Oryctolagus cuniculus: one gene and its partner. The protein of the gene in region 1 purifies or fractionates together with the protein of each later gene. This does not show direct contact. Links are inferred from orthologs where the notes say so. Each region holds a gene or a part of one and is shown on either strand. Other genes may lie near its edges.

Region 1 (5,475 bases):
AAATATTTATTTAATTATGTGAAAGGCAGAGAGAGAGAGAGAGAGAGATCTTCCATCTGCTGGCCCACTCCCCAGGCTGTAGAAGAGCTGGATCAGAAGTGGAGCAGCAGGGACTGGAACCAGTCCCTATATGGCATGCTGGCACTGCAGGTGGTAGCTTTACCGGTTATGCCACATCACCCCTTCCATTGATTTTGCAAAGCATCTAATGACTCCCCTTTTGTGAACCAAATGTTTCCGTAAGCAAAACCATGGAGTAGATAACTATCTCCCTTTAAAACATCAGCATTGTGTGATAATAATAATCATGTCTTAAAAACGAACGATTTCTTCTGCTTGCATGCCAGGAACAGTTCCGTAACAGCCCTATGAAGTAGTACTGTTCTTATTTTGCAGTCGAGGCACAGACACTTGCCTAAGGTCACCGAGCTAGCCCGTGGTGGGGCCAGGAACCTAGCAAACGGCCTCAGAGCGCACTGTGCAGCCAGGCCCTGTTCCTGAGTCACAGCTGGTAAATTTTAAGTCTTCAGTGTCAACGTGGAGATGAAATGAGCTACAGTCGGAGAGCACAGAGCTGCATGTCTGGCACACACCGCAGTAGGTGTGTTTAAACACCACAAGCTCACAGTGCCCAACCTTTGTTGTATTCTAGAAGGCTCTGCCATCTATCAGTGTAGAGATACTGGGATCACCAAGTGCAAGACCCAAGGAATAGAAAGTTTAAGGTCAAAGCTGGAGATACTGTTTTCTCCACAAAACTCTTCATGGTCTCGTATTCTCTCTTAAAATTGAATGCAAATGTTGCATTCTATTCCACGATTCAGGGACTTCTCTGTGACTGTGACTTCCTGGATCATAGTTTTTCTACGGAGACACACCTTTTCTAAGCCTTGCCCCCCCCCCCCCCCCAAGATTTATTTGAGGGAGAGGGAGAGAGCAGCATCCGCTGGTGCACTTTCCAAATGGCCGCCAACAGCTAGAGGGGGCCGCGACGAAGCGGGAACTCCATGGGGGGCCCCTTGTACCTGGACCACCATTGGCTGCTTTCTCTGGTGCATGAGCAAGGAGCGGGATCAGAAAAGGAGCAGCCAGGATTCGAATCCGAGGTCTGGTTCGGAATGCGGGCCCCAGACCACAGCCCTGTGGGGGCCATGGCGGAGTGGCTCAGGTTTGGGAATTAGGAAGCCAAGATGTCCAACACCTTGGGTCTGTAACAACATTGACCCCTTAACTTGTTTGCTCATCAACGGGCAGGACTGTGGTGATGGATGAGTCACTGTCTGAGTTGTACAATATATAAAGATCACCCTTAGGCTCGCGTCTTTCACACTGTTCGTATCCTCTTATTAGCAGGTGAAGAAAGCCGATCAGGTGGGTCAAACGTGAAGAGAAGCGCAGATCAGGGTAACCCGTGTTTGGTGAGATTCTTGTTTCAGGATAGTTGCATGTACCACATGCAACGTACACCTCGCCTGTGGATCTTACCGCCCGTAGAGCTAAAAACTTTGGAAAGCTACTGGAGGGCGGTGTCCCCTCCAGACGTGTAACTGGGAGGAACCTGGGTTTCCGATGTACCACGTGGGTGCCCGGGCCGAACGCCGACGACGCAAAGCTACGCCCCTCAGCCCGGTCCCGCAGTTCCCCGCGAGGACAGCCTCCGGGGCGGCACCTGGGCCCACGTTGCACCTCCCGCCTCCGGGCGGGGCCGAGGGGAAGCGCGCGTCTCGTGACGTCATCACCGCGCGCTGCTGCCGCCGCTTCTTCCACTTCGCGGGAGAAGTTGTTGGCGCGAATGGATCCCGAGACCCGATAACGGATTCCCCAGACGGCCAGCACGCCCAGCCGCCCGCCCGCGCCTTAGTCCTGGGGCGGCGATGGTGAGCCCCTGGGGGAGGTCGTGCGGCTGGAGGGCTCGGGAGGCCTTGGCAGGCCGGGTGTGGACGGGGCATTCGTGGTATGCGGAGCGGGGGAGGACGGCGATGGGGAGCCGAGGCGCAGAGGGGCCACCCACCCGGCACGGGGCGCACGGCTTTCGCGGGTCCGCGGACTGCAGCCCGTGCTGCTAGGGCGCAGGGATTTGAGTGCAACGCGGCACTTTCCCTCCCCACCCCCCACCTCTACTTTTGGGGGAAGGGAGGAAGGAGGAGAGTAATGATGGTGGCTTGGGAATGCAGCTGTGAAGTTTTCTTCCTGTTAAGCGTTGCCCCACACCTCAGTGTGAGTCCTTCCCAGGAAGCCGATTTCCAGGTGTGGCTCCTAAGGAAGAAGAATGTAACAACCTTTCCTTTCTCTTGAATCAGCTGTGTCAGGCCTTCAGCTTTGATTCTTGAGAACTCCACCAAGCGCCCGTCTCGGTCTTTTGGAGACCGGGGGTGCGTGGAGAAGGTATTTTACTTAGATGAGCTCATAGGAGTCCAAGAGATCCCACGGTTGGTTTACCAGAAAGCCGATTTACAGGGAGGAGAAGCAGGTGTAATGTATTTGACAGCTGTCATCCCTCGTCACCTGGTGTTGAGATCTTTAAAGAACGTGCAGAATCTCAGTGTGTCGTTCTGGATAAGCATTCACACGAGTTGATGGGGAAAACATGCAGCTGCAAAACACATTCGTGAGAACATGGCAACATGTGAAGTATTTTTAATTTAAGACAATTTAAGATGTTCCATTAAGCCAGAAGATAGTTAATGATCAGCTATAATTTTTTTTTTCGTTCTCCAACTTGTCAGAATGACAGCATTCCAGGGGGAAAGTGTTTTATGCCACATTGGGAAACCTTGCACCTTTTTGTATTTCTTCTCAAAAAACGATAAAATAATGATGACAGTAGACACCCTCCCTGTCCGAGCGACTTCAGGTCAGTGTGAGCCAGGTGCTTTATCTGCTCTTTCAGCCCACACCGGTAGAGTTTTGCAGATGGTAGAGGCATTTTGTTGAGTGTTGAGGTTTGTCATACAACCACTACGGTGATCATAGTGAGAGCCTAGGTATTTCTGACCACTACATTACACTGCCTCTCTAAAATGGTCCTCATTGCATTTTGGAGTTCAGGCACTATGGTATTGTGGGAACTTGGTGAGATGTGACATCTTGAAGGTGAAGAGGGGGTGGATGGTTTTAGTATAATAGTTCATAGTACTGTAGCATTATAATTTAGTTTAGTACTTAACGTCTGGGCAGGTAAGTAGTTCTTTGAGCCTGTTTTCTTACCTGAAAGAGGAGGTAAATGCTACTGGCCTTAAGGGATTGTTTTGACAATGCAGCAAGTATATAATATATGTAAAACTTCCATTCTAGGGCATGGCATATAGCAGATATTACACAACTAGTCAACCAACAATAATGAACTTTCTCAAAATGAACTCTTTGGAAAGTCAAATAGAGTTTAAGGAATATGATCGGTGCTTCTTGTGTTGTCAGTTATGAGCAGTGGGTTAAATGGTCAGCTTTTGAGCTGTCAGGTACATTTAATTTCAATCCATTCTTTAGTACTCCTATTCGTGGTGCAGGTGAAAAATGAATCTGAAAATTCAGATCAAATAGGTCAGTTTTTTTTTTTTTTTTAAAGATTTATTTGAAAACCAGAGTTACAGAGAGGCAGAGGCAGAGAGAGAGAGAAAGGTCTTCCATCTGCTGGTTCACTCCCCAAGTGGCCGCAATGGCCAGAGTCCGACTGGTCAGGAGCCTCCTCAGAATCTCCCACTTGGGAACAGGGGCCCAAGGCCATAGCAAAGAGCTGTATTGGAAGTGGAGCAGTGGAGACTTGGACTGGCGCCCACATGGGGCACTGCCGCATCTTATGCTACAGCGCTAGCCCCAGTGGGTCAGTTTTACCATTTATTAATGAGAAAAGGCTCAAAGTAGATAAGAGTTTTGGACTACATTGGTATTTAATTTAGCCCTCCAGACTCAAATACAAACATTAGCAAAAATCGAGACTAAAATTTGTATTCAAGAGTTTATAAGCACCTGTGTACAAGTTTTATTATAGGACAGTGGTAACCTCTGGGTTGTAGTTCCTTTGATAAATGTGGTGAGTGGTATGCAAATTTTTGTCCAGAGGAGTACATATGGGTACATGCACACCGTTTTAGGGGATTTACCTATTTTCTGAAGCCCAACTGTGGATGAAACATAACATCTCTTGCCCAGAGAACTGCATGTTTTTCAAATAGTTCTCAATTAAAAGTAAATGAATATAATACTTATAAAATAATTACTCAGTAAATGAATAAAATACTGTATGCACACAATAGAATATTCTGCAACCATTAGGAAACTGAGAAATGTTAATGCTGTGATATGAAATAATTATCAAGATATAAAATCTTTCTGTAAAGTCATACAAGGAGCTAGCTGATAACATTTGTTGCCTCCAGACATGGGAAGTATGTGTTTGAGAGACATGGTAGGAAGGGATACATTTTCCTCTTGTGAATTTTGAACTGTGTGAATATATTATTGGGGTGGGCATTTGGTGCAACACTTAAGATGCCACTTGGGATGCCTGAAACTCATGTTGGAGTGTCTGGATTTGAGTCTCAGCTCTACATCCAATTCTAGCGTCCTGCTAATGCACACCCTGGGATGCTGCAGGTGATGGCTTAAGTAGGGTCTTCCACATTGGAGACCCTGATTGAGTTGCTGGCTCATGGCTGCAGCCTGGCCCAGCCCCAACAGTTGTAGGCGTTTAGGGTGTGAACCAGCTAATGGAAGATCTCTCTCCATATGTCTCTGTCTCTCTGCCATTCAAATTAAAACTATTAATAAAGAACATATTAGCTATTAAAGGATAGAAAATTAAAAACAAAAGGAATGAAAAAGAAGGCATGTAAACAATTTGAATTGCTGTGATATTCGCTCAAAGTGTCAAACCTGAGAAATGGCCATTTTGAAAAAGTCAGTGTATACAGTGAATTTCCTGATAGAATTCTTGAAAGTATGTGTAAGGTTGTGTAAAACCTTCATTAGACTTAAGAGCCAGCTTTTTGAGCAACTGTCATGTCAGTCTAAATACATTATAATTTGAGCTGCTTCATTGCCCTGCCCTGTGTGGTGTGCTTCACATCACGGTTCACTGTGTGAAATGCGTCCCTAGGAATGGTGCCATGACCCTGTTGCGATGTGGCTTTTACCACATAAACCAGTGTGGGCCTATAGGGCTCCTAGCTACCTCTCTTGATTTCATCAGTCTTTTGAGTGCCTTAGGCTGATTGTTTCTGTCTCAGGGCTTTTGTTCTTACTGTTTCCTCTCCCTGGAATAATCTTCTAGGTCCTTGCTTTCTCATCATTCAAGGCTTCTATTGTCTAACCCAAGGCCATAATATATACTTACGTTTTCCTTTAATGTTTTATGGTTTTAGTTCTTACATTTATAACTTTTCACCATTTTCAGTTAATTTTTGGATAGGTGTGAAGTGCAGGAATCCACGTTGATTCTTTTCCTGTGATACCTAGTTGTCCCAGCACTATTTTTCA
Region 2 (5,725 bases), on another chromosome or scaffold:
ATATCCTCCTTGATTTGAGATAATAACAGCCTCTGCAGCACTCGATTTCCTCTTCTGTGAGTTAACTGTAAGATCTCTGAGAGTCCCTTCTGCCTTTAATATTTAAAAATCCATTTTCTTGATAATATTTTCATTTAGTTGTATTAGTGACATTTTTGGTTGGAGAAAAATTTTAATGGCTGATTATCAAAATCAGTGTACAGAAAGTGAAAGTCCACAAAGTAGGAGAAGGTATTTACAAATCATTGATCTGAAAAAGGACATACATACCCAGAATACATGAAGAGCTCTTAAAACTGATTAACAACCCAATTAAAAGATGGTCAAGGGATTGGAATAAACATTTCTCCAAAGAAGATATACAGGTGGCCAACAGCCCATGAAAAGATCTTCAATCTCATTAGCCATTAGGGAAGTGAAAATCAAAACCATGATAAGATGCCACTTTGCATTCAGTAGTATGGTTATAATTAACCAGACAGAAAACAGCAAATATTGGCAAGGATGTGCAGAAACTGTGACCTTCATACATTGCTGAGTGGAACGTGTAATGGTACAGCTTCTCTGAAAAGTTTGGCAGTTCCTCAAAAAGTTACCCTATGACCCATACTCCGAGGTACATGCCTACAAGAAATAAACGTGTCTGCTTAAAGATTATTATATCATTATTTCTGATAGCCAAAACATGGGAGAACCCAAATGTGTACTTGATGAATGGATGAATAAGATGTGGTGTATTCATTTACCATAGCATTCAGCAATAAAAAGGAATGCAGCCACGACACTCTGTACAACATGGATGAACTCTGAAAAACTTAAGAGGGGCTGGCATTGTGGCATACCAGCTTAACTGCCACCTATGATACCAGCATCCCATACAGGCGTGGGTTCTAGTGCTGCTGCTCCACTTCCAATCTAGCTCCCTGCTATTGGCCTGGGAAAGCAGCAGCAGATCTTCAGGCCCCCACACCCAGGTGGGAGACCTGGAAGAAGCTCCTGGCTCCGGACCAGAGATCAGCCCAACTCTGGCTGTTGAGGCTATTTGGGGAGTGAGCCAATGGATGGAAGATTCCCACCCCCACCCCCCACCCCCCACCTCTCTGTAAACTCTGCCTTTCAATAAATAATAAATCTTTAAAAAAAAAACGTAAGGTGCTAGCCTTATGAGATGTCAGAATAGGTAAATCTTTTGAGACATAAAATAGACTAGAGATAACTTAGAGGTGGGAGAATTGGAGGTGTGACTCCTAATGGGTACAGAGTTCTTAGCTGGAGTAAAAAGTTCTCCCAAAATTAGACTGTGGTGATGGTTACACAACTCTGGGAATTCAGTCATCTCCCTTGTTGCAGTTTGAGTTTTGCTTTTTTTATTTTTAAAGATTTATTTATTTAGAGAGGGAGACAGAGAAATCTGTCCGCTGACTCATTCCATAAATGCCTGCAACAGACATGGCTGGGCCAGGCCGAAGCAGGAGCCAGAAACTCCAGCCAGGTCTCCCACGGGTGGCAGGAACCCAAGTACCTGGGCCATCATCTGCTGCCTTTCTGGTGCATCAGCAGGGAGCTGGATTGGAAGCAGTGACGGGACTCTATCCAGGCACTCTGATATGAGATATCATGCCACAGGGCTCCTCCTGGTTTTGCTTTTTGGGGTTTCAGTAACCCACAGTCATCTAGTCTGAATGTACTACATGGAAAATTCTAGAAACATTTCATAAGCTGTCTTGGTTATCAGGTTGACTGGAGTATCACAGTGCTTATATTCAAGTAACGCTATTTTACTTAATAGTGGCCCCTAAGTGCAAGGGTGGACGCTGGCAATTTTATTACAGTATATTATACCTGTTCTGCTATCATTAGTTGTTAACCATACTCTGCCTGATTTTTAAACTGAACTTTATCATAGGTATGTCTATATATGAAGAAAATAGATTCGGTGTTGTCCAGTTTCTGGCATCCATTAGGGATGCCTGAGGTGAGGGGTTTACTGTATACTAGAAAGCACTGTCTTGTACATATAAAGTGGGTAAACTGCATGTGTATTATATCTAAGCCATGCTGTTAAAAACAACATATATGTTAGTGTTCAATTCCTGTGTTTCTCTGAATTAGTGGGAAGCCATGTCCTCCTTTTAAGATTGTGATCTTGGATGAAGCAGATTCTATGACCTCAGCTGCTCAAGCAGCTTTAAGACGTACCATGGAGAAAGAATCAAAAACCACCCGGTTCTGTCTCATCTGTAACTATGTAAGCCGGTAGGTATATCGCCCAAAAGATAAGTATTAGACAGCCTTATTTTGGTATCTTCAATTTGGAGGAGAAAAAAAATTAAATTTTTGGAGGCTGCACTTTGTCATGCATCAAATCGGGGTTTTGTTTTGTTTTTAAGATTTATTTATTTATTTGAAAGTCAGATAGTGAGAAAAGAGACAAATCTTTCATCCACTGGTTCACTCTGGCTAGGCCAAAGCCAGGAACTTCATCTGGGTCTCCCATGTAGGTGGCAGGGGCCCAAGTACTTGGGCCATCCTCCATTGCTTTTCCCAGGCCATCAGCAGGGAGCTGGATCAGGAGCATATGGGATGCCTGTGACACTGGTGGTAGCTTTACCCACTATGCCACAACGCAGCACAGGTTTGTTCCTGACTCGTTTTTTGTAATCTTTTGCAGAATAATTGAACCCCTGACCTCTAGGTGTTCAAAATTCCGGTTCAAGCCTTTGTCAGATAAAATTCAACAGCAGCGATTACTGGACATTGCTGAGAAGGAAAATGTTATAATTAGCAATGAGGTAAATACTGATTATTATTACAATTACTGATTGCTTTGATGAATGCATGAGACCCTAAAACAGTTAAATGTATTTCCTCAGTCCTGATGCTAATTCTTCAGGAAACCTAAGTTAAATGAGCAACAATAGGAATATCTAGGAATCACACGGTTTAGCTTTTGGTCACTGTTTCGAGATTTCAGAGTCCCAACCCAAAACTGAGGGGGATTTCATACATATAACACAAATTCTGCAACAAATCTCTAGTCTCCTACCTAATACTGTGCTGTCTCAAGTTATAGGAATATATAAGGCCTTAGTCATTATAAGAAAATTTAACTACGATAGAGAAGTTAGAACTGTCTTTTTGTCTCATCCCTAATCCTTCCACTGGACACATGCTTTGTCCATGAACTCAGTTACAATAGGACAACAGGACTGATGGTATTCTTCCATACACAGAAATGATGGCATGCCCCCCCCCCTTTCATTTTATTAAAGGAAAATGCCTTAATTGGCCATCACAGGTTAAAAACAACTCTTTTCTCTTCAGGGAATAGCTTATCTTGTTAAAGTGTCCGAAGGAGACTTGAGAAAAGCCATTACTTTTCTTCAAAGTGCTACTAGACTCACAGGTGGAAAGGAGGTCACGGAAAATGTAATCACAGACATTGCTGGGGTAAGAACATAGGATAATTCTGCAATTTTTAGGTGGCTGTAAGGGGATTTTCACCCAGTTAACACTGTCAAATTATACTTTAAAATTTTACAAGTAAATGTACCTTTGTGGTACTTAAGATTTTTCAGCAGATAGGTTTCACCTATTTTGCCAGAGTTGGTCATTCCTTGTGTATCCAATGAGGATTGGTTTCAGGGACCCACGGGTCCCCAAATCTTACCAATCCCTTTATACATAAAATGCTTTGTTAACTAGTTAATACTGTACTACTTAGTAAATACTGATAAAATTTGTGCATTCAGATCAGTACACACCTTCCCCCTTACTGAGCGGTGATGTAGAAGCCACGGATGAAGAGGCTTGATTTTAAGAGGCACTTCCAATTTACAGAAGTCATTTGAGTACCTGCCATACTACCTTGTACACTGTGAACTTAGCTGGGAAATGACTTGAGTAATCAGTGTTGTCGACTTTCCAGTTCCTTAGTGGCACCTTTCCATGGAGGGAAATTTGGAGAAAAGGGACTTTGTTGATTTTCACTACTGCCATGGAGAATTGTCACTGGAGTACCTCAGGGTCAATAAAAAGGTTGGGCTCCAAGTCCCCCAACCACTGGCTAGAGGAGCTGCTTATTCCTTAGACTATATACAGGAACCCCTGTGACTCAGGCCCATAGGGTTTTCAGGCTAATTCCTGCACAAGCTTCCTATTGAGTACTGCTTCTGCCAGTTAATACTACTTCAGAAACCAATGACTTTTCTAGGTAATACCACCAGAAACAATCAATGGAATATTTGCTGCATGTCAAGGTGGCTCTTTTGACAAACTAGAAGGTGTGGTAAAGGTAAGATTCGGCTCATTAACTCTGGGTAAAGGAAGAAGTGACCCATGCTCCCATCAACTGCTGCCTTTCTGTTGTAGGACCTAATAGATGAGGGTCATGCAGCAACTCAGGTTGTAAATCAACTTCATGATGTGGTTGTGGAAAATGACGACCTCTCTGACAAACAGAAGTCCATTATTACTGAAAAATTGGCTGTAAGTAGGCACTGCTTTTGCACATGCTAAGTTATTTGGGTCTACCTGAAAGAACACTAACATCTTGTTTGTATTACAGGAAGTTGACAAGTGCTTAGCAGATGGCGCTGATGAGCATCTGCAATTGCTCAGCCTTTGTGCCACTGTGATGCAGCAGCTAACTCAGAATTGTTAAATTTTGTAACAGATTTTTTGGAATGTAAATAAAGTGACCAAAAACCTTAAAGTGAATATACAATTTATTTAACATTCAAACTTCATTAAGACATGTGCAATATGGCAATTTTACTGGGAGTTTAACCCTACCTAAGATATGATTGCTTGCTGGGGCTAGCAACAGGGTCCAGTTCACACTTAGCACTAATTAAATACTTTATTGAATAAATACAATACCAAACAAAAACGCATTCAAATGCTTTCTTAAAAAAAATCAATTTCAAAGGCCTTTCTATTCAGGCTAATGACAAACACAATAAAGGCAGATATGCTAGTTTAACATAATTGGCTGATTTTATACAGCACTTATACCTTTTAGTCCACAAGTATATTATTAAATGATAGAGAACATCTAATACAACCATTTCTACAGAACTAGGAAATAAATGTCTAAGAAAGAAAGATTTTACAGACCCCATCTTTTATACCCACCCCAACAGTCTAACTCTAAAGAGGAATAAGCCAATGACTTTCCTCACAAGAGCTCACGACTAATGTCGCTTTGCTATCAAAATCTGTATTTCTGATCCGTTATGAGCATTGAGACAAGATTCAAATATTCCCAAAGAAAGAAGCACAATGCACGTTGTGATCGCCTATTCAGCAACAGCGAGCACTGCATTCAAACTATCTCATCCCAGGAATTAAATAAGGTCAGCCACATTCATGGGCATTTCCTCCACTGTAGTATTGTAGAAAGTCTCAATGTCACGAAGAATCCTCTTGTCTTCTTCAGTAACAAAGTTTATAGCCACACCTTTCCTCCCAAATCGACCCCCTCTGCCAATTCTGTGTAAGAAAAAGAAAGCAGCAATCAGAATACTTCTCATGCACTTGTGAACTATTGAACATGACGATCCACTTGTTAATCATCAGCTGCTGTTTACTTATCAAGGTTATAGTTCGTGCTAATTGGAGCACTACCTGCTAATCAATATCTAGAGAAAAAAATCTTCCTTTGCAGTTAGTGCCAAAAGGATTCAATCAAGGCTTTTCTGGCTGCAAAATGAGATTTTCAGGC

The links.
Region 2: the proteins of RFC1 (region 1) and RFC4 fractionate together in Homo sapiens (co-fractionation; 7 studies listed by BioGRID and IntAct, counting the BioPlex papers as one, with this or other methods). This does not show direct contact. The link is inferred for Oryctolagus cuniculus from reciprocal best matches to the Homo sapiens genes RFC1 and RFC4.

Annotation. Positions count from the first base shown.
Region 1 is NC_091433.1:33,273,245-33,278,719, reverse strand, and holds the start of RFC1 (replication factor C subunit 1), read left to right. Parts: upstream 1-1,580; 5' UTR 1,581-1,874; coding exon 1,875-1,877; intron 1,878-5,475. UniProt on the Homo sapiens protein: Subunit of the replication factor C (RFC) complex which acts during elongation of primed DNA templates by DNA polymerases delta and epsilon, and is necessary for ATP-dependent loading of proliferating cell nuclear antigen (PCNA) onto primed DNA.
Region 2 is NC_091435.1:96,451,527-96,457,251, reverse strand, and holds the end of RFC4 (replication factor C subunit 4), read left to right. Parts: intron 1-2,112; coding exon 2,113-2,256; intron 2,257-2,671; coding exon 2,672-2,792; intron 2,793-3,324; coding exon 3,325-3,450; intron 3,451-4,213; coding exon 4,214-4,294; intron 4,295-4,371; coding exon 4,372-4,488; intron 4,489-4,567; coding exon 4,568-4,663; 3' UTR 4,664-4,714; downstream 4,715-5,725. Other genes in the region: EIF4A2 (eukaryotic initiation factor 4A-II), read right to left, coding at 5,349-5,493. UniProt on the Homo sapiens protein: Subunit of the replication factor C (RFC) complex which acts during elongation of primed DNA templates by DNA polymerases delta and epsilon, and is necessary for ATP-dependent loading of proliferating cell nuclear antigen (PCNA) onto primed DNA.